3 linked regions of the Caenorhabditis elegans genome follow. The protein of the gene in region 1 interacts with the protein of each later gene in a pairwise test. Each region holds a gene or a part of one and is shown in the gene's direction. Other genes may lie near its edges.

Region 1 (8,135 bases):
AGGAATAAGATAATGGCCCCAACACTGGGATTCACGCCAGGATACAAAAAAGAGGCAGTAGGCAGTCATAGCCCTATAAATTTGGATCATTGCAGAAACTTTTCTACAGTTACAAAAAGGTCGAATGAACCTGTCAAGAGAAATAGGATAGAATAGACAGAAGGAGAAGTTGACAGTTACAAATATGAGCACAACAGTTTCTAAACTCACTCTATTACCAATATTCCCACTTGGTTTCACTTTTGAACTATTTTTCTGAAACTACCAGAACCCTAATACTATGATTACGGTAGCAATGAGACTCACCTCGACTTGGGTTGGTTTTTCCGACATAAGAAACGGAGGAAGGGCACCAGGAGTGATGCTTCTGCAAAGAGACAAGTAGAAACTGAGAATTATTATCAAAAAATGAAATGATGCGAGAACAGATTGAATGAGGGAATGTGAGAGAAGAAGAGTGGGAAATAAAAGAGCAGATGATGTGGCGAGAGGTGATCGGGCGCTTCCTCAAGCAAGGGTCTCAAGCAGGGTCTACCATAGGTCTAGCACAAGGGTCTAACATCAAAAAAAGACTTCAGACTTAGACAATTAGAGACAAACCAGTGTGCATAGATACAAGATGCTAATGTTCTAGTTTAGAGTATCCAGACATCCGAGGGACTGGGGGAACTACACGCGGTGGTCTGCTGTCTTCTAAGTCTCACTGTCTCTTGCACACTCTCACCGGGCAGTTCACTCTATGTGCAGGCGGGTGACAAGAAGGAGAGACAATTGAATTGCTGGAGGGCAGGTTAAAGATAGCATAGTGCCTTGTCGGTGATCTGCTTGGGATGGTAGGAAGAGAGACAGAGAGAGTCAAAAGAGGCGAACACAACACACACATACACACGATATTCAGAAGGAAGGAAGGCGAGAATAGTGTGTAGATGGGTGGAGTGAAAAGGGCTAGGTGCTGGCACATTTGGGTCGTTGTTGGAGAAAGATAGAAGAGAATATTGAAAGAAAAGAATAATGAAAAGGGATGGTTGTGAGTATGCTAGAATAGTGCAATGTCCCACAGTTTACTTGAGCTCAAACATCAGGAGTTTGAAAGATCTGAATAAGTGTTCTAAATTTGGGAAAAGCTGTAAAGCGACCTACGTCTGTATCGTTCCTGTCCAAGCATAATATCATCAATTTCAATAACAACTATAAACTAAAATGGACGAATTTTAAGACTGATATGCAAAAATTGTCCGAATTGTACTCATATTTTGCCAGTTTTGACTTGTTATACCAAGTCTGTAAAAGTTTTCCTAATTTTTAGAACGACTTTATAATGCAAATTTTTGAATTCCTAAAAATAGGGAACAAATGAAGGGGAGCAAAACTATTAGAGGTGCGAAACTAATAGAGGGTGCAAAACTAATTTTCGATTGGTGATTTTTGATGCAAAACTAATAGAGGCGCCTAACTAACAGAGGAAATACGATATATATATATATATATATATATACATATGTCGGATTGTAATTTTTTTCAAATTGTGCAGTTAGTTCTTGGTCACTGAATTTGGACTTTCTGAGAAATTTCGAGAAGTGTTTCAGGTTTGAGCCACTACAATCGTTTAAAAAAACATGATTGTATTATTAAGAAACACAATTTTCTTGGTCGTCTTCAAAAACTTGCTAGGGGAAAACTGAGTTATTGGAATTTTTGACCGTAACTTAAACATTTTCTAATATATTTTACAGATTTCATCATTTCAGCATCTCCTCAGTGACATCACCACAGAAATACTTTTTTAAAAATATTTTTTTATTGCCAGATCTTCAAATTTCAAAATAGTTTGTAGTAAATTTTCATCCTTGCTATTGAGTTGATTAATTTTTGACATGTGCTCTTAAAGGCGCATGGATTTATTCAAATGGGTCTCACCACGCAACATAGTTATGGTATTATCTTTTGTTTAATTTTTGTGACTGCTTCCTTGTTTACATATTTTCCTTGTACGTTTCAATGAAATTACATTGTTTTTATTTTTTGCATGGAACCGAAACAAGGAAGCAGCCGCAAAAAAAAGGCTACCGTAAACTTTTTGTGTGCCGATACCCATCTGAATAAGTCTATGCGCCTTTAAGACCTACCAAAATCTTGCCAAATTACGATACATTTTCAAACAGCGCTATGGCCATGGAAAGTTTCTCCCGAATTTTGGAAAAAACCCAATATTATCTACAGAACCACAAAATTTGTACAAATAGTCCAGATAATACAATCACCGTCGCTTTCTCTAGTAATGCACTCCATTAGCACCTTTGACCAGATTCGTTGTTCGCTAATTCAAATAAAAACTTCAGATTTTGATAACAAATTCATTAACAAAAAGCGACTAGAAATTAGTCAGTTGGGACGATGGTGGTCTTCTCCGAAACGTAGATTCCGTCGAGGAATTTACGGATATCCTTCTCCTTAACGGCGGTGGATTGTTGGATACGGGCAGCTGCAGAAATAATAATTTAAATGTGAAATAAACAAAATAAGTTTTCTTACCGGCTTGAGATACGAATTGGACATCATTTCCCTCGACTACGATCTCGTCCTTTTGGGCGGTGGAGATGGTGGCGATGACTCCCTCTGGAAGTGGGACACGACGAACGATCTTCTCTCCCAAGAAGTTACGGATCTGAATAATGTGTGAGTTTGAATTATGAAACACATGAATAATTTCACTTACCTCAACAGTTCTGTTTCCATCTTGAAGGGTAACGTTGATGGGGAAATGGGCATATACGGAACGCATCTTGTAGCGGAATCCGACGGTGACTCCCTTGATCATGTTCTTGATGTGGGAGCAGACAGTGCGGATAGCGGCAAGCTCCTTACGAACTCCGAACCACTTGCGGACGCGGAGGGTGCTCTTTCCGATACGCTCCATCTCCATGTGCAAGTGACGGAAATCCTTGCGGATGGTTCCGCGTGGTCCGGTGACATGGACGATGCGGTTCTTGACGGTGAAGGTGACTCCCTCTGGGAACACAACAGTGTCGTTAGACTCGATCAGCTTCATGATCTCCCTGGATTACCTGGAAACGATAAAATGAATTGCAACGCATTAAAAGTAAATATCAAGAATTAAAAATCAACAGAGTTCGGTTCAATACGTTTTACTTAATCGTGAAACATGTAAGAAAAACTGCAATTGAAACGGCACTAACACTTTTGAAATGGAGATTAGTGAACAACGTTAGAAGAAAGATAAAGTCGGGAGAAGGAATATTTTTCAGTGTTGAAATAAGCTCCGTATCGCACATGCTGTATAGCGTCGATACTCAGCGAAATAGAAACCGTGCGGCAGTTGCGTTCTCTGTCTCTTCGAATCTCCTCCTACTTTTCTGTGCCCTCTTCACTTCGACACCAATTTTTCGCCAAATGTGGTCGTTTTCACCATTTTTTATCGCGCATCACTCATATTTACATAGAAAATCAACTATTTATAATTTATCTTAGCAATTCAGTAATATTCAGCTAACTAGTTTTCCTGGTGTCTTGATAGTCTCGTTAATTCCGTCGGAAGCTTCGTCTTATTATTTCGTATTTTCAGCAGAATGAAGGACCGATTCAAACAAAAGTACACAGCCGGAGCTGCCGTGGCATATATGTCACGGAAACAAGCATTGAAGAAGCTTCAACTTACACTGAAGGACTTCCGCCGACTTTGTATTATTAAGGTTAGTACATTAATTTTTAAATTAGTCATCGAATTCAAATTTTTCAGGGAATCTACCCACACGAACCGGCCCACAAGAAGCAAGCAAACAAGGGTTCAACTGCAAATAAGGTGTTCTATTATCGCAAAGACATCAATTTTCTCGCCCACGAACCCATCATCAATAAGTTCAGAGATTATAAGGCAAGTTTATCTTTGTTCAACAAAATAAACTTTGAATGTTTTTAGGTGTTCCTGCGTAAATTGAATCACTTGAAAGCAAAGAAGGAAGAGGATAAACTCAAGAAGTTGTACGAAAACAAGCCAGTCTATAGTCTGGACACTATCGTCAAGGAACGCTTCCCAACATTTGGATCAGCTCTCAGAGATATGGATGACGCCTTGTCCCTTTGCTTCACATTCGCTATGCTTCCACATACTCGTGTTCTCAAAGAAGGAATGATTGACAGTTGCCGAAAACTCACTGCGGAGTTCATGCACTATGTGATTGAATCGCAATCTCTTCGCAATACCTTCATCTCGATCAAGGGAATTTACTATCAAGCGGAGGTACATGGAGAGAAAATCACTTGGGTTGTTCCACACGAGCGTGGTCTTCCACATGTCACCGATGTTGATTTCACAGTCCTCGTGACTTTCGTCGAGTTTTACATTGCCATGTTGGGGTTTGTCAATTTCAAGCTCTATCAAGACATCGGACTCTTCTACCCACCACAGATCGGGCAAGTCGTGAAAACTGATGAAATGGAGACTGAAGAATACAAAGAAAAGGTGTACAGTTTGGCGAAACCATTGGCTAAGAGAAAGGATGTTGAGCAGGCTGAAGACGATGAGCCGTTGGACCTTCTTGGTGAAGACTCTGATGCACTCGCGCAAAAAGTCAGAGAAGCAAAAAGCATCAAGACTATGTTCAAAGGTTGCGTTTTCTACTTGAATCGAGAGTGCCCAAAAGAAGCACTCACTTTTATTATTCGTAATGGAGGTGGAATTGTTGGATGGGAAGGAGGCCCTACAGATCTCAAGGCCGACAGTAAAAATATCAGTCACCACGTTGTCGATCGGCCAATGGACAAGCTGGAGGTGAATAGACTTTATGTACAGCCACAGTGGGTGTTCGATTGTCTGAATGCTCGCAGGAAGCTGCCTACGGAAAGATACATGCCAGGAGTAGCTCTTCCGCCACATTTCTCACCATTTACATCTGAGAAGGCTGGAGACTACATTCCGTTCGAAAGATTGGAAGAACTCAGAAGCATGGGCAAAGGTGTGTTTTGTTTTTACTTTTGTGTAGTATTCTATCTTTTCAATCTGATCTGAAGGAACGAGATATTAAATTCACGTCCTTTAATAAAATATTGTTCAGACGTGTCTGATCTCGAAGCAGCAATTCCGAAGACGATGGACGAGTTGCCAATGCGAAGAAAGGAGGTGAAACCAGAAAAACCAAAGGGTATTCACATTGCTGTTGGTCAAATGCACAAGAAGAGCAAAGAGAAGTTCCACGAGACTGTCGAGAAGGGACAGGAGTTGAAGATGCGCGAATTGATGATTTCCAAGAAGCACCAACGAGTGTACCACAGTATGAAGACCACGTTCAAACGCAATCGCAACGACGCTTTGAAATTGAAGAAGAAGGCCAAGTTGGCAAAGGCAACAGAGGCATAAATCATATGCAAGTTGTGTTCTCTCGTTTTGTTTTGTTGAAATTGTTGATTTTATCTCTTTTAATAATCCATCTTTGTTTTGTTACCATTATTATGCCCATTATCATTGATAAATGACGTTCGGAAATAATTTTACAATTGAAAAACAGTTTTTATTCAAATTCAAAGTGACAAAAAATAAGTTAAATATAAATAGAAATCATGACTTATTGCTTTTTTATAAGTAAAACTAGGTGAGATCTAAGGCGATTTTGTATTGGTTGTCGTGGATTTTGTTGTATTGCTTTTTTGTTATTTTTCAAATACAGCCTAAGCATCTTCGATCTAACGTGTCGTGGATACATATCTATCATAAGCATCCTGTGTTGGATCTTCTTGAGCAATTGCACCATAGTTTGCATTGACTACGGTAGTTGCATTGAAAGCATCTGTGATTTTTCCATCCCGAGCCATCGGGACTCCTTGTGGTGCTAAAATATAAATAATCATCACCCAGACGCGAAATTTTGCGATTTTTGAGCCAAAAATACGGGATCCGGTCTCGACACGACAAATATTTGTTAAATGTGCAAAGATGTGCGCCTTTAAAGAGTACTGTACTTTCAAACTTGTGTTGATGTGGGAATTTTATCGATTTTTTAATGATTAGTTAAGAAATGTGTGTTTTAATTGTTTCACTTTTTAACTAACTAATATAATATTGTTTGAGGAATTTGAAAAAATCGGCGCAGCAACGAAAGTTTGAAGTTACTGTACTTTTTAAAGGCATACATCCGTTCGCATTTAACAAAACACTTGTCGTGCCGAGACCGGTCACCGTATTTCTGGCGCAAAATTTCTCGCCTGGGCAACAGAAAAAGTTCAACTTACCCATAATATCCATATCTTCTTCTTCGAAATTCCCAGCTCCATACTTGATTCCTTCATACTTGAACAGCTTATTCAGACCAAAACTTCCAGCACATGTCGCAAGACAAATCAATCCATAAATCACAAAAGTTGTTCGTGTTCCAATGATCGAGATCACGGATCCACCAATTATTGATCCGAGACCTTTTCCAATTCCGTGATACCCTACTTGAAGAGCATATTGAGCATGTTGTTTGGCGTGTGGTGGAGCAACAAGCGAAATATACGATGATGCGCAAGACCAGACAGTGGCGAGGCAAGCTCCTGAAAACATAATAATTTTTAAATACCTTCGCCTTTACTTGAAGTTTATTAGATCTTTTATCTTAAACGTTGAAATTATTCAAAAAAGTGCACCAGGGTCTTATATAGCACGTGGTGTCAGGCTGTCTCATTGCGGTTTGATCTACGAAAAATGCGGCAATATCGTTCCAGAAAATTGTGACGTCCGCACGTTCTTAACCATGCGAAATCAAATGAGCTGTCTGCGTCTCTTCTCCCGCATTTAATGTAGATCAAACCGAAATGAGACAATCTGACTCCACGCGTGGATCCGGATTCCACGTGCATAGCACGAGGACCAAAATTGGGATTTGATTTGAAATTTCATTTCTCATAGTCAGCAAACAATCAAAATGTTAAAGGTTTTTTGTTAATATGTCGGAAGTTTTGAGACAAATTCCAAGCTTAATTTTTTCATGTTTTTATTGGATTTTAATGTTTCAGGTCATCACTAAAATTTTAAAACGTGTCTAAAACTTGATAAATCTAAAAATTTTCTCACCCTGCAAGATCTGAAGTGGAAGGACCATCCATGGATTATCAAGAATTGAGAGTGCCATGAAACGGAAGAAATTGACAGCCAGACACAGGTACATGACGCGGACATGTCCATACTGGAAATTGTAAACGTCTTGTTTCTCTTCTATACATTATATGTTCTTGCGAAGTGTGGGTTATTTTTAAAACCCACATTATAACTTTGATTCTTTGTATGTACGAGAGAAACCTTCGAGTTACCGTACACTCGAGTTACTTTTATTCTTTACAATTGTCATTTTTGCGAAAAGTCCCCGGAAAATAATTTTGGGCCGAAAAGCGAAAAAAAAACTTACCTTATTAATCAGTTTGAAAACATAGAAATATGTGATAATCTCGGATGCGTGATTGACCACAGATAGAATTCCAAAAAGCACCGGTGATCCTCCAATGTCCTGAAGATGCCAGTAAAGGAAACTGAACACCAAACCAGCTCCACCGCCCATCACAACGACTGATACGAAGAATAGAAGAATATGCATACTTGCAAGAGCCTTCATTGCAAGCAGTAGACTATTTTCACTTCCACCACCACCTTCCGACTGCAAAATTCGAATTTTTAAGGAAAAATCGAGATTTGTTCAAAGTAAGTACCTTGAACAAGATGTAAAATTGATAAATTATAGTACTACTTTTTTTTTTATTCAATCATCATACCTGCGTGATTCTCGCCCTTGCTTTCTCAGCAACAACATGTGAAACTTCAGCTTCTCTCGTATCCATAACCAATCCATGAACCTCTCCGGGTGCGGGAACATCATCATCAAACTTGAATTTACTGGCCAATCCCATGGCAGCCAACATAAATATGACACACATTACGAAACATAACGTATAATTTTTCTCTGTTGTATTTTCAGCAGGACATGGATGATTTCGGAATGTATCCGAATAATCGAGTGCTATTCCCATAATGAACATAGCGAATCCCCAACCAACTGATGCCATCAATCGAATCTTTCCGAATTCGGCTGGATTATCCCGTACCGAGTGTAGAGTTGCTGCGTCTGCTAGAGGTAAAGCAGGAGCTGAGA
Region 2 (11,738 bases), on another chromosome or scaffold:
TCGATATGTCAATTGCAGTAGTTGAAGGCCCAATACGTGAGGTAAAATATCGTTTTTTAATATTGATATGTACATATGGAAAAATTATAAAAAAATTGAATTATCTGTTCATATAAAAACTGCAATTTTTCTGAATAAATTCAAAATTTGAAACGGCCTGGACACATGTAAACACTTTGAAACATTTTTCAGCTTCTTTTGGAAATACCGGACTCTGAAAAACACGGGCTTTACTATTCAGTGGTATCATTATTTGTTGTCTCCACAGTAGTAGCAACAATTCTCACACTGTCTTTTTTAGTTTTATCAATACTTTTATGGAGAAATTTCAAATCGGTAAGTGATTTCTTCAGGTTCAGTTCGATAAACATGAGTTATCTAACACTGAAGAAAATCTGAATATGATACAGTTGAAATTACTAATAATAGTTTTTATTCAACATTTAGATGAGATTCTTTTGGTTTTTGACACAATTAACAACATCAGCTTTTATAATTTCTGCTTCGAATCTATTCATAAACATTCCAGCTGCCCTATCTTTATTTTCAAAAGAAGTAACGCAATCACGTAAGTATTCTTTGGTTTTTGCAATTTAATTGATGTGTTTTTCTAGAGCTATTTTTTTTTCTTATCTTATTGATTTTTGTCATTATTCTATACTTTTTTCGAATTTGGTGATTTCCATTCAACGTGCTTTTGTATTTTTTCTACGTAACTGGACAAACCAATTTTTTGAATCGTTAGTTTTTTTTAATAATTGATTTCAAATATAAAAATTTATAATTCTAGTAAGGCAATATATATTTGGCTTGCAAGTATTTACATATTTGCTTTTGGTGTGGAATATGCATTAATGTCTTCAAATTGTCAATATGGATATGATAAAACTTCTAAAAATTATCAATTAGTCTGTGAAGCAGACAATCGCGGAATCATGAAAACAGTAGCAACGCCAGCTGGAATTCAGTTTGTGATTATTACAAAATCGATACTTAAATTAAATTTGAAAATGATTTCAGGTGGAAACTTTGCTACATATCGTTATTCCTTTGTTTATACTTATCATATATATTGCAATAACCGCAAGAATAATATATATGAAAGGAACAAAAATTTGGATTTCCCGCCAAAATTTTTCTCACTGAAAATTTGAATTTCCCGCCAAAATTTTTTCACTGAAAATTTGAATTTCCCGCCAAAATTTTTTCACTGAAAATTTGAATTTCCCGCCAAAATTTTTTCACTGAAAATTTGAATTTCCCGCCAAAATTTTTTCACTGAAAATTTGAATTTCCCGCCAAAATTTTTTCACTGAAAATTTGAATTTCCCGCCAAAATTTTTTCACTGAAAATTTGAATTTCCCGCCAAAATTTTTTCACTGAAAATTTGAATTTCCCGCCAAAATTTTTTCACTGAAAATTTGAATTTCCCGCCAAAATTTTTTCACTGAAAATTTGAATTTCCCGCCAAAATTTTTTCACTGAAAATTTGAATTTCCCGCCAAAATTTTTTCACTGAAAATTTGAATTTCCCGCCAAAATTTTTTCACTGAAAATTTGAATTTCCCGCCAAAATTTTTTCACTGAAAATTTGAATTTCCCGCCAAAATTTTTTCACTGAAAATTTGAATTTCCCGCCAAAATTTTTTCACTGAAAATTTGAATTTCCCGCCAAAATTTTTTCACTGAAAATTTAAATTTCCCTCCAAAATATTTTTCTCAGAAAATTTGAATTTCCCGCCAAAATATTTTTCACAGAAAATTTAAATTTCCCGCCAAAATATTTTTCTCAGAAAATTTAAATTTCCCGCCAAAATTTTGGGTCTTACCACGGTGGGTCTCACCACGACGGGTCTCACCACGATGAGTCTCACCACGATGGTCTCACCACGATGGGTCTCACCACGATGGGTCTCGCCACGATGGGTCTCGCCACGATGGGTCTCACCACGATGGGTCTTTCCACGATGGGTCTCACCACGGTGGGTCTCGCCACGATGGGTCTCACCACGATGGGTCTTTCCACGATGGGTCTCACCACGGTGGGTCTCGCCACGATGGGTCTCGCCACGATGGCTCTCGCCACGAAGATCTCGCAGCAACATTTTTTTAATTTTCCAGAAGGTTCTAGAACAATCCAGAATTTTTTCGAATTTTCCAGAAGGTTCTGGAACATTCCAGAATTTTCTAGAATTTTCCAGAAGGTTCTAAAGCTTTTCAGAATTTTCCAGAAGGTTCTGGAACATTCTAGAATTTTCCAGAAATTCCCAGAAGGTTCTGGAACATTTCAGAATTTTCCAGAAGTTTCCAATTTCCCTTCCAAAGACGGAAAGTCAATTTTTCATAAACTACCGTAATCCTACCGTACTCCTACAGTACTCCTACAGTACTATTACAGTACCCCGACCATATTCCACTACTAACCGCAAACCTATATCTCTTCAAAAGACAAAAACACAATTTTTCATAAACTACAGTAATCCTACAGTACTCCTACAGTACCTCTACAGTACTACTACAGTACCCCGACCATATCCCACCTCTAACCCCAAACCTATATCTCTTCAAAAGACAAAAACACAATTTTTCATAAACTACAGTGATCCTACAGTACTAATACAGTACTCCTACAGTACTAATACAGTACCCCGCCCATATTCCTCTACTAACCACAAACTAATATCCCTCCAACAGCCGAAAACACCTTGCCTTTGTAAGCTATGACGTCACTTGTTAACAAACGGACACTATTTTTTTATATATAGGTAATGATTAATTATTAATTATTAATTATTAATTATTTATTTATTTATTTATTTATTTCAAAAAAACTTTTTTCGATGTCAGGAGTCCTGACTCAGGACAAGTCGTCGTCGGAAGAAGAAGACTTGGAATGCTCACTCCGAAGGTTCCATGGCTGTCCATCGCACGTACTGACCGTGAAAAAAAATGGAATGAGTTTATCCTCTTCGCAACTTGAACCCAACGGACATCAAAGTATCAAAGTAAAGTAAGTAAGAGCTCGAGCCCAGATGCTCGAGCTTGAGCCTAAATGCTCAATCTCGAGCCCAAATGCTCGAGCTCGAGCCCATATGCTCTATCTCCAACGCGAAAAAAGTTGTAGCTGTTAAAAGTCCATGAAGTGCATCCACTTGCCACGAGAAGTGAGAATCAGCCCGAAGCCGCCACAGTCGTACATATTTTCTTTATTTAAACCGGTCAGATACACTGATAGTATTATATTTAACATATTTCTATCTGCAAAAATGCTCTTCTGCCCAGAATTCTTCTGATTCCATTTAATTCTTGCTAGAAATCGCTGAAAAAACAGCTCGTATTTACAATTTTTTGTAATTTCCGACTTCCCATTTTATCAATTTTACTATTTCTGTGAAAAAAATTCGAAATTTCGTTCAAAAATAGCGATTCTGGCTCAATTTCATGAATATCTGTTGTTTTTTTTGGCAAAAGTGGCCGCGGCCGAGGAGGAAACCTTGTCCCCGCTCGGTGTACTCCTCTCGGATAATATTTGTTTTTTGAATTTTAAGCGCGCCAAACTGATTTTCTTTGTCATTCCATGAATTTTCGTCACGTTTTTCGAGTTTTGTATCGAATTCTTATCAAATTTTCAATATTTCCAGCTATGTCAAAGTCGGAAAAGCAACAATTAGCGCCATGGGTGGAGAAATATCGTCCAAAAGTGCTCGCCGATATTGTCGGCAACGAGAACATTGTCGAGCGGCTCAAAGTGATCGGACACGAGGGAAATGTGCCGAATATTGTTTTGTCGGTGAGAAGATTGTTGAAAAATTCATTTTAAAAGTCAAAATGTGAAGTGAAAAATCGAATTTTTCCGTTCAGGGTCCCCCAGGCTGCGGAAAAACGACATCAGTGTGGGCGTTGGCTCGAGAATTGCTCGGCGATAAGGTTAAGGAAGCGGTGCTCGAGTTGAATGCGTCGGACGAGAGGTTTGTGAGAAAAAACCCTGAATAACTGGGAAAAATTGCAAAAAAATTGACTTTTTCGCTAAAAACTTTGAAAAAATTGAATTTTTCTCAAAAAAAAAATCTCAAAAAACTGCCAATATTTCCAGAGGAATCGATGTGGTCCGTCATCGTATCAAAACGTTCGCCCAGACGAAGGTGACACTTCCAGAAGGCCGTCACAAGATTATCATACTGGACGAGGCCGATTCGATGACCGATGGTGCACAGCAGGTGCGGAATTTTGCCGAAAAACTTGGAAATTTGAATTCAGCTCAACGAGAGCTTTGATTTAAGTATGAACATGACTAGGCTGCGATAATTTTGGAAATAAATCTGAAAGTTTTAGGCTTAGGCTTTTAGGCTTAGGCTCAGGCTTTAGCTTAGGCTCAGGCCTTGACTTTGGATTAGGTTTAGGCCTAGGCCTAGGCTTAGGCTCAGGCTTAGACTTAAACGTAGGCGGGATTTTTTTAAGTAAAAAAAGCCGAAAAGTGAGTGTTTTTAGTAGATTTTTCAGTTTTTTTTTGACAAAATCTAGATAAAATCGGAATTTTCTGACGAAAATATCAAAGTTCCGCAATTTTTGAGCTTTTTGCAATGAAATTGGTACAAATTTCGAATTTTTTTTAAATGAAAAATGCCATAAATTAAATGGTCAAAAATCCGGAATTTCTAGCGTTTTCCGAGACAATTTGCGATTTTTTTAAAGAGAAAATGTCAAATATCAGAAAATTGCCCGTTTTTTCCACAAAAAAAACCGAGAAAAATGGTAACTTTGCACACACAATTTCACTTATTTTTTCAGGAAAATTTACACGATAATTAATCAAAATTTTCGTGTTTTTTTTTTTGAAATTGAGCCAGTTTGGATGTCAATCTACCAGTTTTTCTGCGAGGAATTCGATTTTTTCCAATGAAAATCCCCCCAAAAAATGCAATTTTCATCCGAAAAAACCTCCTAAACTCGAAAAATTAGTCCCCCGCCACGATGATTAAAAAATTTCCAATTTTTTCGAAATTTTCGGAACCCAGTCATGATTATACTTAAATGAAAGCTCTCAACGAGCTCAATACGAATTTTGCATTGAATTTCCAAAAAAAAAAAACCAAATTTTCAGGCTCTCCGCCGCACAATGGAGATGTACACAAAGACGACAAGATTTGCGTTGGCCTGCAATCAATCCGAGAAGATTATTGGTACATATTAGGGACGGCAAACGATTTTACCGGCAAATCGGCATATTGCCGGAATTGAAATTTCTGGCGAATTGCCGGAATTGAAATTTCCGGCAAATTGGCATATTGCTGGTTTTGAAAATTTCTAGCAAATCGACAAATTGCCGGAATTCAAATTCCTAGCAAATCGGCAAATTGCCGGAATTGAAATTTCTGGCAAATTGGCAAATTGCCGGAATCGAAATTTCTGGCAAATTGACAAATTGCCGGAATTGTAATTTCTGGCAAATTGGCAAATTGCCGGAATTGAAATTTCTGGCAAATCGACATATTGCCGGAATTAAAATTTCTGGCAAATTGGCAAATTGCCGGAATTGAAATTTCTGGCAAATTGGCAAATTGCCGGAATTGAAATTTCTGGCAAATTGGCAAACCGGCGATTTTCCGATTTGCCGAATTTGCTGACAAAAAATTTCCGAACGGCACTTGCCGTCCACACTAATACAGATCTCGGCCTGGAAACTCCCCAAAAAATCGATCGATTTTTGCCCCTTTCAGAGCCCATTCAATCCCGTTGTGCCCTGCTCCGCTACACAAAATTGAGCCCCGTACAGCTGTTGACACGTGTCAAGGAGGTTGCAAAAGCCGAGAAGGTCAACTATGACGACGGGGGTCTTGAAGCGATTCTGTTCACTGCACAGGGTGATATGCGACAGGCGTTGAACAATTTACAGGTAGAAAATCCGGGAAAAGGCTGAATTTTGAGCTGAAAACGCTGGAAAAAATTGCGAAAATTCACAATTTTCTAGACCAGAATTTTTACAATGTATGTGCTTAAAAGTAGTGAAAAACCGGAAATTTTAGCTAATTTAGTTGGAATTTGGCGTTTTCCGTAAAAAAGGTGAAAAAAATCATATTTTTAAAGGATTTTTTTTCACTAAAAATTGACCTTTTCCAAATTTTCTTCAGTGAAAATCTAAAAATGTTATTAATCTCAAAAATTCCAAAATAAAATCCAAAAAAAAAAATTCAAAAAATTTTAGGAAACTTTTTAAAAATTTCAAAAAAAAATCCTAAAAATTTCACAACAATCCCAAAAAATTCCAGATAATTCCAAAAAAAAAAAAAACTTTAAAAAAATTTCCAAAAAAGATTTCCAAAAAAGATTTCCAGGAAAACTTGGCCATCCTTCCGAACTCCATAATTTTATTTTCAAAATTTTGAAAAATTGGTCTAAAAATATAAAATTTCGCTGAATGTTCTTTTTTCCTTGAAAATCTCAAAAAGTTTCATGAAAATTGGATTTCGTACCATTTTTTTATTTAAACATTTTTTTTTGTTGATTTCACCAGTTTTTTACATTTTGCAACAAAAAAACTTAGAATTTTTCCTAAAATTGAAATTTTCATTAAAATTTTCTCATTTTTTCAGTGAAAATCATGAAATTTCATCAAAATATTGAAATTTTTTACATTTTTCAGTTAATTTTTTTTTTCGATAAAGGACATCTAAAAAAGGGGTATTTTAACAATTTTTTCCCCACAAAAATTGCAAAAATGCCGATTTCCAGTATAATTAAGTGGAAATTTCATGAAAATGTGACTTGTGTGTTTCTCTATCCGAATTGATGGTTTGAATAGTGGTATTCTCGGCTGAAATATGCAATAAATACCGTATTCCAACCAACAATTCGGTGCAATAGAGCACATTTGTCACTGGAGATGCGGAAGCTATGCCCAATTTTTCAATTTTTTTTAGTAAAAATCTGAAAATTTAAACAAAAATTGCGTTTCAAAACAAATTTTCCATTTTTGGGCTGAAAACTTGTAGAAAATTTAGAAAAAGTCTTATTTTCAAGTAAAAACTATGTAAAATATGCAATTTTCCGGCTAAAAAAAAGTAAAATGTTCCGATTTTCCAGGCAACAGTGAACGCTTACGAGCTTTGCCGAGATTTTCAATTATTTTTCACGTCGATCCTCATATCTTCTCAATGTTTTTTTTTCAAATTTTTTTTTCAAATGAACCCGATTCTTGTACAGAATATGTAGTTTTGGGTCTCGCAGCGAAATTGCGCGTTTTATTAATTATTTTTATTGCACTTTAAACATATTTATAGATGGATTTTCCTCGGAACTTTAGCAATTTCATCCCAGTTGCCGAGAAATGCTAAAAATTTGGGTACGGCAACTCGGCAATTGCACACTTTTTGAATTTTTCAATTTTTGATGCAAAAAATTAATTTTCTTGGATTTTTCAAATTTTGCTCAAATCCCTGCTAAAAATTCGAAGATTTTTTAGCCTTTTCTAGTTTTTGCCGAGGAATGCTATAAATTTTGGCTCGGCACCTCGGTAACTGAACTAAATTTCCCTATATATTGTCTGTGACTTGTGTGTTTCTCTATCCGAATTGATGGTTTGAATAGTGGTATTCTCGGCTGAAATATGCAATAAATACCGTATTCCAACCAACAATTTGTGCAATAGAGCACATTTGTCACTGGAGATGCGGAAGCTATGCCCAATTTTTTTTTAGTAAAAATCTGCTGAAAATTTAAACAAAAATTGCGTTTCAAAACAAATTTTCCATTTTTGGGCTGAAAACTTGTAGAAAATTTAGAATGTCTTATTTTCAATTAAAAACTATGTAAAATATGCAATTTTCCGGCTAAAAAAGTAAAATGTTCCGATTTTCCAGGCAACAGTGAACGCTTACGAGCTTGTGAACAAGGAAAATGTGCTGAAAGTCTGTGATGAGCCACACCCGGACCTTATGATCAAAATGCTCCATTACTGTACGGATCGCAAATTCTTCGAGGCATCCAAGATTATTCACGAGTTTCATCGGCTTGGCTTCTCCTCAGACGATATTGTATCAACGTTGTTCCGTGTGGTAAAGACTGTCGAGCTGTCGAAAAATGTGTCCGAACAGCTGAGAATGGAGTATATTCGGGTGAGAAAATGGGTGGAAAATGAGCCAAAATGAGCGGCTAAAAGCCGCCCGGGGTGTTCTGAAAATTGTCAAAAATCCGCGTTTTTTGGAGCTTTGTTTTGCCGAAAAACGCGAAATTTCGTTGTTAGATCATCGGAATATCTAAATTTCGGCCTTTGTGGCTGAAAATTGCCGAAAACCACCGGATTTTAGGGATTGGTAGCCTAAAATTGGCGAAAATCGTGAATTTCGAAGACTAGTTGCCGGAAATTGCCGAATTTTAGTTTTTGGTTACCGGAAATTGAGTCCGGCAACTCGGCAACTGAACTGAATTTCCAATTGAAATTTCCGGCCAACCGTAAAATTGCCGGAAATGAAAATTTGCGGCAACTCGGCAATTTGCCGGAATCGAAAGTTTCCGGCAAATCGGCAATTTGTCGGAATTGAAATTTCCGGCAAAACGGCAAAATGGTGGAATTGAAAATTTTCGTCCAATTGGCAAACTGCCAAAAATAAAAAATAAAATTTCCGCCACATTGCCGGAATTGAATTTTGAGGCAAAATGGGAAAATAGCGGAATTCAAAAATTTCCGGCAAATCGGCAAATTGCCGGAATTGAAATTTCCAGCAAAACGGAAAATTGCCAAAAATCAAAATTTCCGGCAAATCGGCAAGTTGCCGGTATTGAAAATATCCGGCCGATCGGCAAGTTACCGGAAATAAAAATTTCCGGATAATCGGTAAATTGCCGAAATTGAAATTTCCGGCAAATTGGCAACTGAATTGAATTTCCCGGTATATTGTCTGTGACTTGTGTGTTTCTCTATCCGAATTGATGGTTTGAATAGTGGTATTCTCGGCTGAAATATGCAATAAATACCGTATTCCAACCAACAATTTGTGCAATAGAGCACATTTGTCACTGGAGATGCGGAAGCTATGCCCAAATTTTAATTTTTTAGCCCAAAACCATTAAAAAAAAACAACGAAACAATTTTTCAGCAAATCGCCATGTGCCATATGCGTATCGTGCAGGGACTCACTTCGAAACTTCAACTCTCCCGTCTGATTGCCGATCTGTGCCGAGTTTCAGCAGCGGCAACGGCTACGAGTGCCTAAAATTGTTGCCGAGATTTTCAATTATTTTTCACGTCGATCCTCATATCTTCTCAATTTTTTTTTTCAAAATTTCAAATGAACCCGATTCTTGTACAGAATATGTAGTTTTGGGTCTCGCAGCGAAATTGCGCGTTTTATTAATTATTTTTATTGCACTTTAAACATATTTATAGATGGATTTTCCTCGGAACTTTAGCAATTTCATCCCAGTTGCCGAGAAATGCTAAAAATTTGGGTACGGCAACTCGGCAATTGCACACTTTTTGAATTTTTCAATTTTTTGATGCAAAAAATTAATTTTCTTGGATTTTTCAAATTTTGCTCAAATCCCTGCTAAAAATTCGAAGATTTTTTAGCCTTTTCCGGTTTTTTCCGGAATTCCAGTTTTTGCCGAGGAATGCTATAAATTTTGGCTCGCCACCTCGGCAACTGAACTGAATTTCCCTATATAGTATGTGACTTGTGTGTTTCTCTATCCGAATTGATGGTTTGAATAGTGGTATTCTCGGCTGAAATATGCAATAAATACCGTATTCCAACCAACAATTCGGTGCAATAGAGCACATTTGTCACCGGAGATGCGGAAGCTATGCCCAAATTTTCAATTTTTCTTCTGAAAATTTTGAAATCGCTCGAAAATCAAATTTGAAAGGCATTGATTTTCAGACTAAATTTTTTCAAAAATTTTTTATTTTTGTAAAAATTACTGGAAATTAAGCTCCGCTTAAATTTTTTTTTCTTCTGGGGGATCTCGAAAAACGCAGTTTTTTACGCAGAATCTGAATTTCTTATTGAAAAATCTTTATTTCGATAGTAATTATCTGGAAAGTTTGCTTCTTGGTGGGCACTTGCAGTAGTTGGCATCCTCTCCAGGTGTTCCACTCGGTCCCTGTTGTCCATCGAATCCTGGTGCTCCTGGAGCTCCATCCTCTCCAGGGCCTCCAGAGGATCCTTGGATCCCTGGAACTCCGCTATTTCCATCATTTCCAGGTTGTCCTGGGAATCCTGGCTGTCCAACGGGTCCAGAAGGTCCTTGTGGTCCTGGTGCTCCCTTGGTTCCGTGAGATCCATCACGTCCCTTGTCTCCCGGCTCTCCGTTGTTTCCTGGAGCTCCTGGCTCTCCACCATATCCTGGATTTCCTGGATGACCTGGGTGTCCGTCTGGACCGCGGAGCCCTGGAGCACCGTCGTTTCCTTTGTCTCCTGGAGCTCCTGGCGGCCCGGCTGGTCCTGGGAATCCTGGAGCTCCTGGTGGGCACATACGGCATTGTTGATGAGCATCCATATTGATTGATGGGTAGTTTCCTGGAAGTCCTGGAGCTCCGGCGTCTCCGGCGAGTCCTGGGGTACCGTCGTGTCCTGGGATTCCTTGTGGACCGGCTTCTCCTGGTGGGCAAGCGCTGTTCGAGTTGCAAACTGGAAATTTTGAGCAGTTTAGTGTCTATATAACATAATAAAACATCTATTTGCCAGACCCGTGGGTCGAACTGCGGTCTTTTGAGCCTCAGGCAAACCGCTAACCGACTGAGCCACGCTTTAAGAAAAAATCGAAAATGAGCTAATTTCGGTGTCAAATTAATGGATTTTTCACGGAAAATTCAAATTTTTGTAGGAAAACGCTGGAAAAGGTGAGTTTCAAACAGAAATATCACTTAAAAATAAAAAAAAAATCATTTCCGTGGAAAACTTGATTTTTGAAAGTCCCCAAAATTTGGGTTTTCTGGCAAAAAAATCCGTCAAAAATTGAAATCTTCACCTTAGAAAAAAAGTAAAAAGAATTTTGCCTATACTGTGGGTCGAACCACGGGCGTGTGCGTGATAGCTTAACCTTTTAGCCACTGAGCCACGCGTTTTTCAAAAAAAGAAATCGGAAAACTCGAGTCCGTTTTTTTGAAAAAAAATCCCAAAATGTGTGGAAAAACAACGGATTTTTTATAAGAAATTCGATAAAAATCTCCAAAAAAAATAAAATTTTTGACATTTCCGAAATTGAGCCAGATTTTTTGGCTGAAAATAGTTCAAAATTAAGCAAAAAATCAGTTCTTTCGAAAGAAAATCCCCAATAAATGCGATTTTCCAGCGAAAAATCCACAAAAAATCGGAATGTTTTGAGATTCCCAGTTTTTTCACGGAAAATTCAAATATCCCACTCTTAAAAAACGTACCGCATTCTCCCGGGCGAGTTGTCTGTCTCTTCTTTCTGGCGAATGGTACAACCGACTCTCCAAAGGTCTCGCCACGCATATTTGCCCAAACCTCGTTGTGTAGATCACGGAACTCGTTCATATCGTAGTGAAGCTCTCCGGTGATGTCATTGATCTTATTCCATAGTGCTGGTACGAATGTGGAGACGAGGAATAGCGAGGATAGGGAGAAGGCGATCGCCGCGTAGCCAGCCACTCGAGCCGACATTTTCCGAGCTGCAAGAAAAATCGATAAAATTCAAAAATTTTAGGAAAATCGATAAAACACAAGAATAATCGATAATCTAACAACTCAGTCTTAACAAGCAAAAGAAAAGAAAAATA
Region 3 (10,462 bases), on another chromosome or scaffold:
TCACCAGGAGGTACCCTTCTTATCCTTCGGAGCTGAATGATCAGATTACCAGGAGGTACTCTTCTTATCCTTCGGAGCTGAATGATCAGATCACCAGGAGGTACCCTTCTTATCCTTTGAAGCTGAAGGATCAGATCACCAGGAGGTACCCTTCTTATCCTTCGGAGCTGAAGGATCAGATCACCAGGAGGTACCCTTCTTATCCTTCGGAGCTGAATGATCAGATTACCAGGAGGTACTCTTCTTATCCTTCGGAGCTGAATGATCAGATCACCAGGAGGTACCCTTCTTATCCTTTGAAGCTGAAGGATCAGATCACCAGGAGGTACCCTTCTTATCCTTCGGAGCTGAATGATCAGATTACCAGGAGGTACTCTTCTTATCCTTCGGAGCTGAATGATCAGATCACCAGGAGGTACCCTTCTTATCCTTCGGAGCTGAATGATCAGATCACCAGGAGGTACCCTTCTTATCCTTTGAAGCTGAAGGATCAGATCACCAGGAGGTACCCTTCTTATCCTTCGGAGCTGAATGATCAGATTACCAGGAGGTACTCTTCTTATCCTTCGGAGCTGAATGATCAGATCACCAGGAGGTACCCTTCTGATCCTTCGGAGCTGAAGGATCAGATCACCAGGAGGTACCCTTATGATCCTTTGAAGCTGAAGGATCAGATCACCAGGAGGTACCCCCTGTGATCCTTCGGAGCTTGAGGATCAGATTATAAGGAAGAATCTTACGATATTCCAAGTTAGTTGGACGTTTTACAGCATTTTCCCAAAAGATCATTGTTCATACATTCAATTGTGAGTAGTCAAGGCCGGAAATCCATGGAAAATTGCATTTAAAAACTTATTCCAGTGAAAAAAAAACAAAAATCGATCGAGAAATATATATAAAAAACTAGTTGAAAAAGTTTGTCACCGAAGATCCGGTCAGAGACAAATGGCACTTTGTCGACTGGATACCATATCACTTTGGATACTTTGTCCCCAAAAATACCTTGTCACCCTAAAAGTTTTTCATCTCGGAATGAAGGCCAAGCCCACGCGGTCTCTGAGCAGGGAGCGTCACGCCCTCACGAGTATATAAGCCGACTAGAGAATAACATCCTCAGTCGAGAAAGACCTTGCCTGCTGGCGCCGGACGAAAGTAAGGCTCTCGTCGTCTGGCACAGCAACGACTCAATAAATGCTTTAGCACACAATCAAAGTGTTTTTGCATGATGTTTAACCATAAGCTGTGGCACCGGCTTATGTCCGTTAACACAAGGCTGAAACTCCGAAACTTGCTGATGAAACTCAAGAAGTTGATCTCAATCTTCATGACAGCTCTGAATCTGATCACGAAGGGTAAGTTTTTTTTCGTTGATTTGAAGAAATCCAATATCGAGAATTTTTATATTTTTAAAATCATTAAAACTGCAAGGAGTTTCAAAATATTGCCAAAAACGTGTAAACACATTTGAGTTCATGGAAGTTCAATTTACAAATTAAATCATTTATTCTCTAGTATTTAAAATTGCTGTTTTGTTCGCTGCAAATTTTGAAAGATGAACGACGATGAAGACGATGTAAAGGCGGAAATGGATCGGAGTTTAACGGGATTGGAGAATCAGATGGACAACTGGTCGACGTTTGATAGTGAATTCTTATGTGACGATGAAGAATATGTAAAGGCAGAATTGGATCGAAGTTTAGTGATATTGGCTGATGAAATTGATGAGATGAGATCTGAGGCTGATGAGATGAAAGTGAGATTGGCTGATGATAAAATTCAAAAAGAAATGGTAAGTTAGTTTTGCGATGATTTCGGTTTTTGTGTGAAGATACATAGAGTTTTGTCTTTTGAAAAGTCATATTTTGTTTTTCCAGATCCTGAAAAGTATAGATGATTATTCAAAATCACATTTCGACGACGATATGGTCAATGATTTCAATAACCACAAAAAATTTCTTCTATCTCTTTATCAGCATCAAAATCCACTGGAGATTTAAACATGGTTAGTGAGTATTGCGATGATGCTCCACAGTTACTTGGTGTTGAAAAATAAAACTCGGTCTGAAGTTTATATCGCGTTTTTTTTAAAGCACAGATATATGTGAAACTCGCCGGAATAATCTTAATAAGATTTTGGTAGAACACATTTTGATGTGGATGGCCGAGTTTTTTCATTTTCACGGCCACGTAGATGTGAAGTAGCTATAAAGATAAAGTTTTACCTTTTGAAAAATCTTATTCTGTTTTTCCAGGTCCTGAAAACGATAGAAGATAATTGTAAATCACAATTCGACGATGATTTGGTCGAAGATTTCAATAATTTTCAAACGACTTCTTCTATGTCTTCATCAACAACAATATCTACTGAAGATTTTAATACGGTTAGTGAGTTTCGCGATGATGCTCCACAGTTACTTGGCCTAGAAGAAATGAAACTCGGTCAGAAGTTTATATCGGTTTTTTAATCACAGATCTATGTGAAACTCGCCGAAATAATCTTAATAAGATTTTGGTAGAACACATTTTAATGTGGATGGCCGAGTTTTTTCATTTTCACGGCCACATAGATGTGAAGTAGCTGTAAAGATGAAGTTTTGCCTTTTGAAAAATCATATTCTATTTTTCCAGATCGAAATCGAGTCAACATTCGAAATATGCAGAAGTGGCTCCTATACAGAAGAGCCAATTCTTGGAGAAAATGATGAATTTTTGATTGATTTTGAAATGGAACGATTTCTGAAATTCCTTAAAGACAAAACAAAACAAGTAGAAAAAAGAAAAGAACCTTTCTCCCAAAAGGAAATATATGCAGTTTTCCAACGACGCATTAAATCTGAGCTCTGCATTGAAACGGTGAAGAAAAAGTTCCAACCACTCCTTCCCAATGCAATTCAAACATGCGAGTTCGACGAGGAAACTATGATAAGAATGATCTATGGTGCAGGAATTCGAATAGACTCTGTGGATTTCTGGAACCGGTTAGTATTTAAAAGAATTATTCAGAACAGGGGTGTGCGGCAAATCTCAAAATTTGCCGTGCTCGGCAAATTCGGCAAGTTCGGCAAATTTGCCGCACACCCCTGATTCAGAACAAAGATGAGTCACCAGATTCACTTGCCAAATATTTTTCGAAATACTTTTGAAATGTTTCCAACTTTAATTGCAACATAATGCAGAAAGTGGTCTTCACTTTTTGGAAATCGACGTGCCAATAAAATTGTCAATTTTGAACTTTAATTTTGCAACACAAAACTTATGGCCAATTTGTTTTAAAAAACAATCATTAATCAAATTTATGTTGTATTATTTAAGAGTATAAATGTACTAAAGTATTTTCAGGTTCACATCGAAAGCGACAATTTCACTAGACTGCTACTCAAGATTGATCTCATACTCTTCCGACTCTCTGACCTTAAGTGGTACTCATCGTTCTGGATTCACATATCATTGGATATCCACACCCCCTGTTACTTATCATAGGGTTTGTTTGCACATTTCATATTCACTTTTTGATTTTGAAGTATTGGGTCTGTAAATACTTCTCGAAGTACTCTCTAAAATGTTTAAAAGTCTTCTGAAGTCTCTGCGGTTTCCTTCTCTCCTCTTTTGACTTCTCGCTCTCTGCCAATGTTATGATACATTGATTTAAAAGACTCCGGAGACGAGAAGCGAGATCAAAGTGATGTTCTCTCATGATATTCCGAATTTTCTCTGTAGTTTCACCACAATATGTATTCATTTCAGACTGAAAATAAGGATCCAAATATACAAGAGCCATCTCCAGTTGAATTTCTAGATGTACAATCGAGTCTGGGTTCAAGTATGAAACCACCGATACTTGATAAGCCCACCAAACTAGATGACCCAGCTGAAACCCGCCATGGTAAGTCAACAATAACTTTGCGAAAAAACTAGAAGAAATTTTTAATAGAATCATAGATATCGAAGCAAGATACTTTCTCACTAAATTTCGATTCTCATATTTCCATCTATTGGGTTTCCTTAGAATTCAGAAGGTCATTAATTCCAAAAAGTGATTGGCTTTTAGAAAGAAAAATAATAGGAAAACGATTGGGACAAATGAAACCAGGCTTTTTTAGTGCATAAAACTCGGCTCAGGCTTGGCATTTTAATTTATTTTTAGAATAAGCTCACCAAGATATAGGACAGCATTGTGAGACTAATGTATTCTAAACAGCTCTTGTTTATAAAAACGTCTAAATCTCCTTTTTCTAGCTCATCTGCAAGCGGTTTGGATTTCAGGACAAAAATTGTAGTGCCCATAGAAAAAACATTAGAAAAAGTACTCACTTTTAAGCATGTAGGCATCAGCAGCTAACAGGTGGTGCAGCGAAATTTGAGTCGTAGCTTTTTTAGATCCAAAATGGCCCTAAACTACCAAATTCGTAATGAGACGTCCTGAAAATTTCTTTTAAAAATTATTATGGCTCAAAGCTTTGGAAAAATGCATGTTTTCTGCTAAGACCCCACGTGGTGTCCGAGTGTCCCATCACGATGCGGCTCAAAAAGGTATTTTTCTAAACTTTGAGCTGTCGCAACGAAACTATGTGGGTGGTCAACCACGGGAAATATTCTCTACACACAAAGAGGGGCGGGCCTAGGTGCTTTCACTAGCCAACGACGCTAACCATAGGGGCGGAGCTCATTTGCTCAAACTAATGCTCAAGAGACCCGTTTACACAATGGGCGGGAAATAAGAACCTATGGTCCTCCTGTACTATCAGCAAGCCCGACTAATTTATAGTTTTTGAATCTATAATAAGAAATAACTGCTTTCAGACTGCTCGTATTCACTGGAGGAGTATGACTCTCAGAGTCGAATGCCGAGAACGGACGCCAAGAAATCGAACCATAAACACAAGTATTGTTATGAGATGAATTCAAATCCGAGAGGGACCGTCCTCATATTAAGTAACGAGAACTTCAAGAATATGGAGAGAAGAGTCGGAACGAAACAAGACGAAGTAAATCTAACCAAGTTGTTCCAAAAGCTTCAGTACACAGTAATTTGCAAACGGAATCTTGAAGCTGAAGTAAGGTGAAACTATTAAGCTCTATTTGAGGGTTGTGTTTTCAGAGCATGCTTGAAGCTATCAAGGAATTCGCGGAGATGGCACATACCGATTCGATCATACTCTTCCTATTAAGTCATGGTGATGGAGCTGGAAGTGTCTTTGGAATTGATGACATGCCTGTCAATGTAATGGAGGTATCCACATATTTAGCGTATCATCAAAATCTTCTTCTCAAGCCCAAATGGGTTGCCGTGTCAGCATGTCGCGGAGGTTTGTTTTTCGGTTTTCTATTTTTCGAATAACCAACTTTTTTCGGGAAAATTGAACATGGGTGTTCCCGTTGACGGACTGCCAGCTTTGGAAGACAAATGTGCTCCAATCTCGAAATTTTGGAATTTAATGATGTCACGTATAATGGTTTGTTTAAAGGAGAAATCGATTTAATATTTTTCGCATTTCAGCCGGGAACCTTCACTTCATTGAACGCCGACGTCATCATCTCGTTTTCCACCACGGACGGGTTTACGTCTTATCGAGACGAAGAAGCGGGCACATGGTATATTAAATCCATGTGTAAAGTCTTCAATAAGCATTCAAAAACTATGCACCTTCTCGATATATTAACGGAAACTGGTAGAAATGTTGTTACGAAGTATGAGAATGTTCAAGGGAACGTTGTATTAAAACAAGCCCCAGAGGTAGGCTCACCGAATCTTAAATGCTGTCTTAAATGCAGTATTTTTTAAATCTTAAATGCAGTATTTTTCAGATATTATCCAGGCTCACCAAACAATGGCACTTTTCAAGGTCGATGTAACTGCGCTCCAGCGCGTTCGTATTAAATTTTAATTTCTTTGCGTTTTCTCTGTACACTTCTTTCACTTATTTTTAAATATTTAAACTCAAAACGTAAGTTGTTTCCTATTTTCTGATTTAGCTGATTTTCACTTTTCAGATTGCAACATTGATTACAATTAATGTGGATTATTGGAAAATTAAAAAAAAACGTGTGGGACAAGATGCACTTGCTGCAGGCAAATACTGTTTTACTACTTGATCTTTTACTGCGCATCTCTTTTACTACAAGATCTCTTTTACTACGGAATCTCTTTTACTACGAATTCCACATCTAGATCTTTTACTACAATCGGCTCTTTTACTACGGAATCTCTTTTACTACCGTTTACCAACATAGCTCTTTTACTACTGTGTGACTTCAAAGAAATAAAGGTGGAGCAGTGCCAGTAGCACCAGAGAGAACAATGTTAAAATCAAACTTACGATAAAAAATATATATATAGACAGGTCAACGCGCGTACCTCTCGCCCTTTTGGTGTAGTGGTTAAGCGCACGGTCTTCAGATACAGTCATTGCTGGTTCGAATCTGGATAGGTTCAGTTTTCTTTTACATCGTCAGGTGTCCTGATATAAGCTTTCAATGTGTTTTTTGGATCACGAAATTCTCGTGAGAGCTCTTGTCAGTATAAGCGCACGTCAGCATAAGCATATTCAAAACGTCAGCATAAGCATATTCAAAACGTCAGCATAAGCATATTTCAAAGGTGTCAGCATAGGATAGTTGGCAATGAGATTTTGCAATAAAATGTGTCCAACTGAAATGTTGTTGGCGATAGTGTCAAAAACATTTGGTTTTTTTAGGTTTCAATGTTTTTTTTTCGATTTATGAAAAAAAATCCAAAGGGTACCCCTTACAAAAATTTTCTAAATTTTTTTTTGAAAACTTTTTTTGAAAACTTTTCAAAATTTGATCAGATGTTATAGAAAAATGCAATGTTTGTTGTTTATCTAGTTTAAATGTTCTGAACGCGAATTCAGACTAAAACCTGAGGTATAGTAGAACCTCAAAATTCAAAAAAAGCACTCACTTCGGATGCTGATAACTCCGTGTAATAATTTTTTATGACAAAGTGATCAACAACAAAGTTGTTTATCTTAATATAAAGTACAATTTTGCAGTTAATCGTTTTTTATCAAAAAATTGGTTGGATGAGATATGAACAGAAAAAGAAGAAGAAAATACAAGCATGAAGGTGCCGAACTTTACACAACTTTATCTCGACCAACAAGTTTTTTGATAAAAAACAATTAACTACAAAGTTGTACTTTATATTAAGATAAACAACTTTGTAGTTGATCACTTTATATATCATAAAATCATAAAAAAATTTTCCACGGAGATATCAGCATCCGAAGTGAGTACGTTTTTTGAGCTTAGGTGTTCTACTAAACCTCAGGTTTTCGTCTGCAATCGTGTGCAGAACATTCAAACTAGAAAAAACTACAAACATTGCATTTTTCTGATCAAATTTTGAAAAGTTTTCAAAAAAAATTTCGGAAAATTTTATTAGATAGAGGTAGTCAAAGATCATTTGAAGGTAGTCAAAGAGCATTTATACATCAGATCTCATCTCCATTTTTTCCGGAATTTCAGGAAATGAGAAAGTGCACGACCTTCTTAGACATCAAAAAGTAACATGTTATTGAAAATTCTGATTTTTCAGCGAAAAAAACTGAAAATTCTGAAAAATTAGATAAAGGTAGTCAATGAGCAAAGGTAGTCAATGAGCAAAAGGTAGTCAAAGAGCCGAAAGGTAGTCAAAGATCTAAGGTAGTCAATGAGCAAAAGGTAGTCAAAGAGCCGAAAGGTAGTCAAAGATCTAAGGTAGTCAAAGAGCAAAAGGTAGTCAAAGAGCCGAAAGGTAGTCAAAGAGCAAAAGGTAGTCAAAGAGCCGAAAGGTAGTCAAAGAGCAAAAGGTAGTCAAAGAGAAGGTAGTCAAAGAGTGTTTGCCAAAAAAACGTGCGAATGTCGTTGTTTTTCTAGTTTGTTCTGAAAACAATATTAAGTAAAAAATTTTGGTACAGTAGAACTACCATGTTCAAAAAACGAATTCATTTTAGGATATCGCACGGTATTTTTTAAATGAAATCTCTAAGAAACATCATATGTTGAAACTGCATAAATGTAAAAATATACCATAACAGTAGTAAATTAGAAAATGTCAGCAAGTTAGTAAATCTGAGTTCAAAGTAAATGAACTATTTCTTAGTAAATGACTGAGAGTAAAAAATGAGTAAATTAGACCTTGAAGTAAATGAACTCTTTTTCAGTAAACGAGAGAAAGTGAAATTGCTAGTAAAATAGACGTCGAAGTAAATGAGCCACTTACGTAAACGAGTGATTTGGTAAATGAGACTATTAGTTAATGAGGGTTTGCCTACTTTTTTTTGGTACAAACCCACCTCACTAATTTTGAGATTTAAACAACATTTGTTGCCTATTTTGCAACAATTATTGGTAAAATTTCTATGAAATTGAAGTTATTGTACCTTTTTGTTGCAATTACAATCAAATTTTCTGAATTTTCACATAAGAAACTAGTTTTTCAGCAAAAAATTGTAAGCTCAAAGTCAGAAAAATGTTCTGAAAATTAATATTGCACTCCCTATTAGTCTTGCACTCCCTATTAGTATTGCAAGCGGTAAGGCCATCGAAAAATAGTATTGCAGCCATATTAATAGAAGAAATACGGTAAATATTTCCGGAACATCGGCAAATTGCCGGAATTGAAAATTTCCGGCAAATCGGCAAATTGCCGGAATTGAATATTTCCGGCAAATAGGAAAATTTCCGAAATTGATTATTTTCAGCAAACCGGCACAGTGCGGGAATTGAAGTTTCCGGTGAATTGGCAAATTGTCGGAATATAATATTTCCGGTTTGCCGTTTGCCGGATACCAATTTGCCGATTTGCCGTAAATTTAAATTCCGGTAATTTGCCGATTTGCCGGAAAAAATCATATTGAGCATATTTTTTCAGAAAGACGGCGTGCGACAAAAAATTAACAAGAAATGTGGTTTTTGATGCTTTTCGAACAGTTTAAAATATGTTTGTCTTTCCGATTTATGTCTGATGGGAAGGAAAAGTACACACAAATTTATTTGCTCCATTGGCCAAAGCGAAAAAATCAGAATATTCAGAAAATGATTAGAATCCCTTATCCGGGCTCGATTCAAGATGCTTGCGAATCTCCGGGATTCCATCGACTTTCTGGTACCAGGCCTTGATGTCTGGGTACTCGTTCAAGTATTCCGGCCACCACGCGATTAGGGTTCTCATATTATCACAAATCATCAAATCAGCATAGGTAAGTCCGCCGGAGAACAAGAATCCGGAGATGCTAAGCTTCAGGAACTTCCCGATAATCGTCAGGAACTTGTCTCTAGCTGGAATCAGCGTCTTCTTCTTCTCCTCTTCGGTGTCATTCTGAAGAACGCCGATTTTCGCGTAATAGTATGGCTTGATCTCCGCGTAGAAATCCTTGAACTGATCGATGAGGGCGTCGGCGAGCGCTGCCTCCTCGTCGGTTTTTCCGGCATAGCCGAATTTTTTGGCGAGGTACCTGGCGATCGCCATGGATTGTGGGATTTGGAGTCCCGAACTGAGCTCGAGCACGGGCATTTGGCCAAAGGGCATTTTGGGTTTTTGAGCTGGCCAGTCTGCATGCTCAATGCGGATATCCTCGTATTTGGTGCCGGATAGGGCGAAGAGCTGGAAATTTTGCGATTTTTGCGCCAATGTGTTAATTACGGTTTGATCTACAAAAAATACGGGGGAATTTTTCGCCCGAAAAAATGTGACGTCAGCACGTTCTTAACCATGCAAAATCAGTTGAGAACTCTGCGTCTCAACTTCCCGCATTTTTTGTAGATCTACGTAGATCAAGACAAAATGAGACACTCTGACACCACGTGGATTGCGAAAAGGCGTGCACCTGTAAAGAGTACTGTAACTGGAAACAGGCGGTAGTATTTTCATCGATTTTTCACATTGTTTTGCGAAAAAACACTAACATTTTAACAAATCGACTCTTTGAAGGCGCACACCTTTTTTCATTTATCAAAAATTGCCGTGTCGAGACCGAGTACTGTTGCAAACGCGGCCCAAGTGGTGTCATAGTGTCCCATTTCGGTTTGATCTACGCAGATCTACGAGAATCGCGGGAATTTGGACGCATTTTTAATGGTTAAGAACGTGCTAACGTCACATTTTTTTGGGCAAAAAAAATTTATTCCCACATTTATTGTAGATCAAACCGTAATAGGACAGCCTGACACCACGTGGTGGCCTGGAAGCAAAGTGGCCTAGAAAAAGCTAAAATTCGGCCAGCAGTATTCTATGTCATGGTTTTAGCCGAAAAACTTCCTAGGTTGCGGATTTTCAACAAAAAAAAACGTACTCACTTTGGACAAGTGGCCGAGTTTCCTTGATTTCTAGGCCACGTTGAAAATGTCGAAAAATCGTAAAAATAACATTTTCGTGCTGATCGTGCCGTGATTTGCTACGTTACCGAGTTTTAGAAAAAACTCGGCCACCAATTCAATTTTCTAGGCCACCACACTAACC

The links.
Region 2: the proteins of lpd-7 (region 1) and rfc-2 interact in a two-hybrid assay, tested with the Caenorhabditis elegans proteins (one large-scale study listed by BioGRID).
Region 3: the proteins of lpd-7 (region 1) and csp-1 interact in a two-hybrid assay, tested with the Caenorhabditis elegans proteins (one large-scale study listed by BioGRID).

Annotation. Positions count from the first base shown.
Region 1 is NC_003281.10:7,569,767-7,577,901, forward strand, and holds lpd-7 (Pescadillo homolog), read left to right. Parts: upstream 1-3,583; 5' UTR 3,584-3,587; coding exon 3,588-3,710; intron 3,711-3,757; coding exon 3,758-3,892; intron 3,893-3,937; coding exon 3,938-4,973; intron 4,974-5,072; coding exon 5,073-5,374; 3' UTR 5,375-5,497; downstream 5,498-8,135. Other genes in the region: R13A5.7 (FBA_2 domain-containing protein), read right to left, coding at 307-333; rpl-9 (Large ribosomal subunit protein uL6), read right to left, coding at 2,379-2,482, 2,533-2,665, 2,717-3,049; mfsd-6 (Major facilitator superfamily associated domain-containing protein), read right to left, coding at 5,698-5,843, 6,244-6,546, 7,067-7,178, 7,398-7,643, 7,759-8,135. UniProt on the Caenorhabditis elegans protein: Required for maturation of ribosomal RNAs and formation of the large ribosomal subunit.
Region 2 is NC_003282.8:1,343,674-1,355,411, forward strand, and holds rfc-2 (Replication factor C subunit 2), read left to right. Parts: upstream 1-3,640; 5' UTR 3,641-3,644; coding exon 3,645-3,791; intron 3,792-3,862; coding exon 3,863-3,969; intron 3,970-4,094; coding exon 4,095-4,218; intron 4,219-5,102; coding exon 5,103-5,181; intron 5,182-5,718; coding exon 5,719-5,894; intron 5,895-7,857; coding exon 7,858-8,112; intron 8,113-9,093; coding exon 9,094-9,210; 3' UTR 9,211-9,304; downstream 9,305-11,738. Other genes in the region: F58F6.5 (G_PROTEIN_RECEP_F1_2 domain-containing protein), read left to right, coding at 6-41, 193-336, 448-568, 615-679; col-104 (Nematode cuticle collagen N-terminal domain-containing protein), read right to left, coding at 10,028-10,626, 11,376-11,622.
Region 3 is NC_003280.10:13,599,205-13,609,666, forward strand, and holds csp-1 (Caspase A subunit p16), read left to right. Parts: upstream 1-1,999; coding exon 2,000-2,002; intron 2,003-2,252; coding exon 2,253-2,381; intron 2,382-2,628; coding exon 2,629-2,978; intron 2,979-3,339; coding exon 3,340-3,481; intron 3,482-3,744; coding exon 3,745-3,883; intron 3,884-4,800; coding exon 4,801-5,054; intron 5,055-5,098; coding exon 5,099-5,305; intron 5,306-5,350; coding exon of another isoform or gene 5,351-5,351; coding exon 5,352-5,453; intron 5,454-5,497; coding exon 5,498-5,734; intron 5,735-5,805; coding exon 5,806-5,853; downstream 5,854-10,462. Other genes in the region: gst-20 (glutathione transferase), read right to left, coding at 9,044-9,607, 10,462-10,462. UniProt on the Caenorhabditis elegans protein: Cysteine protease which, in vitro, cleaves itself and caspase ced-3 into their mature active forms. Also cleaves, in vitro, inactive caspase csp-2 isoform b.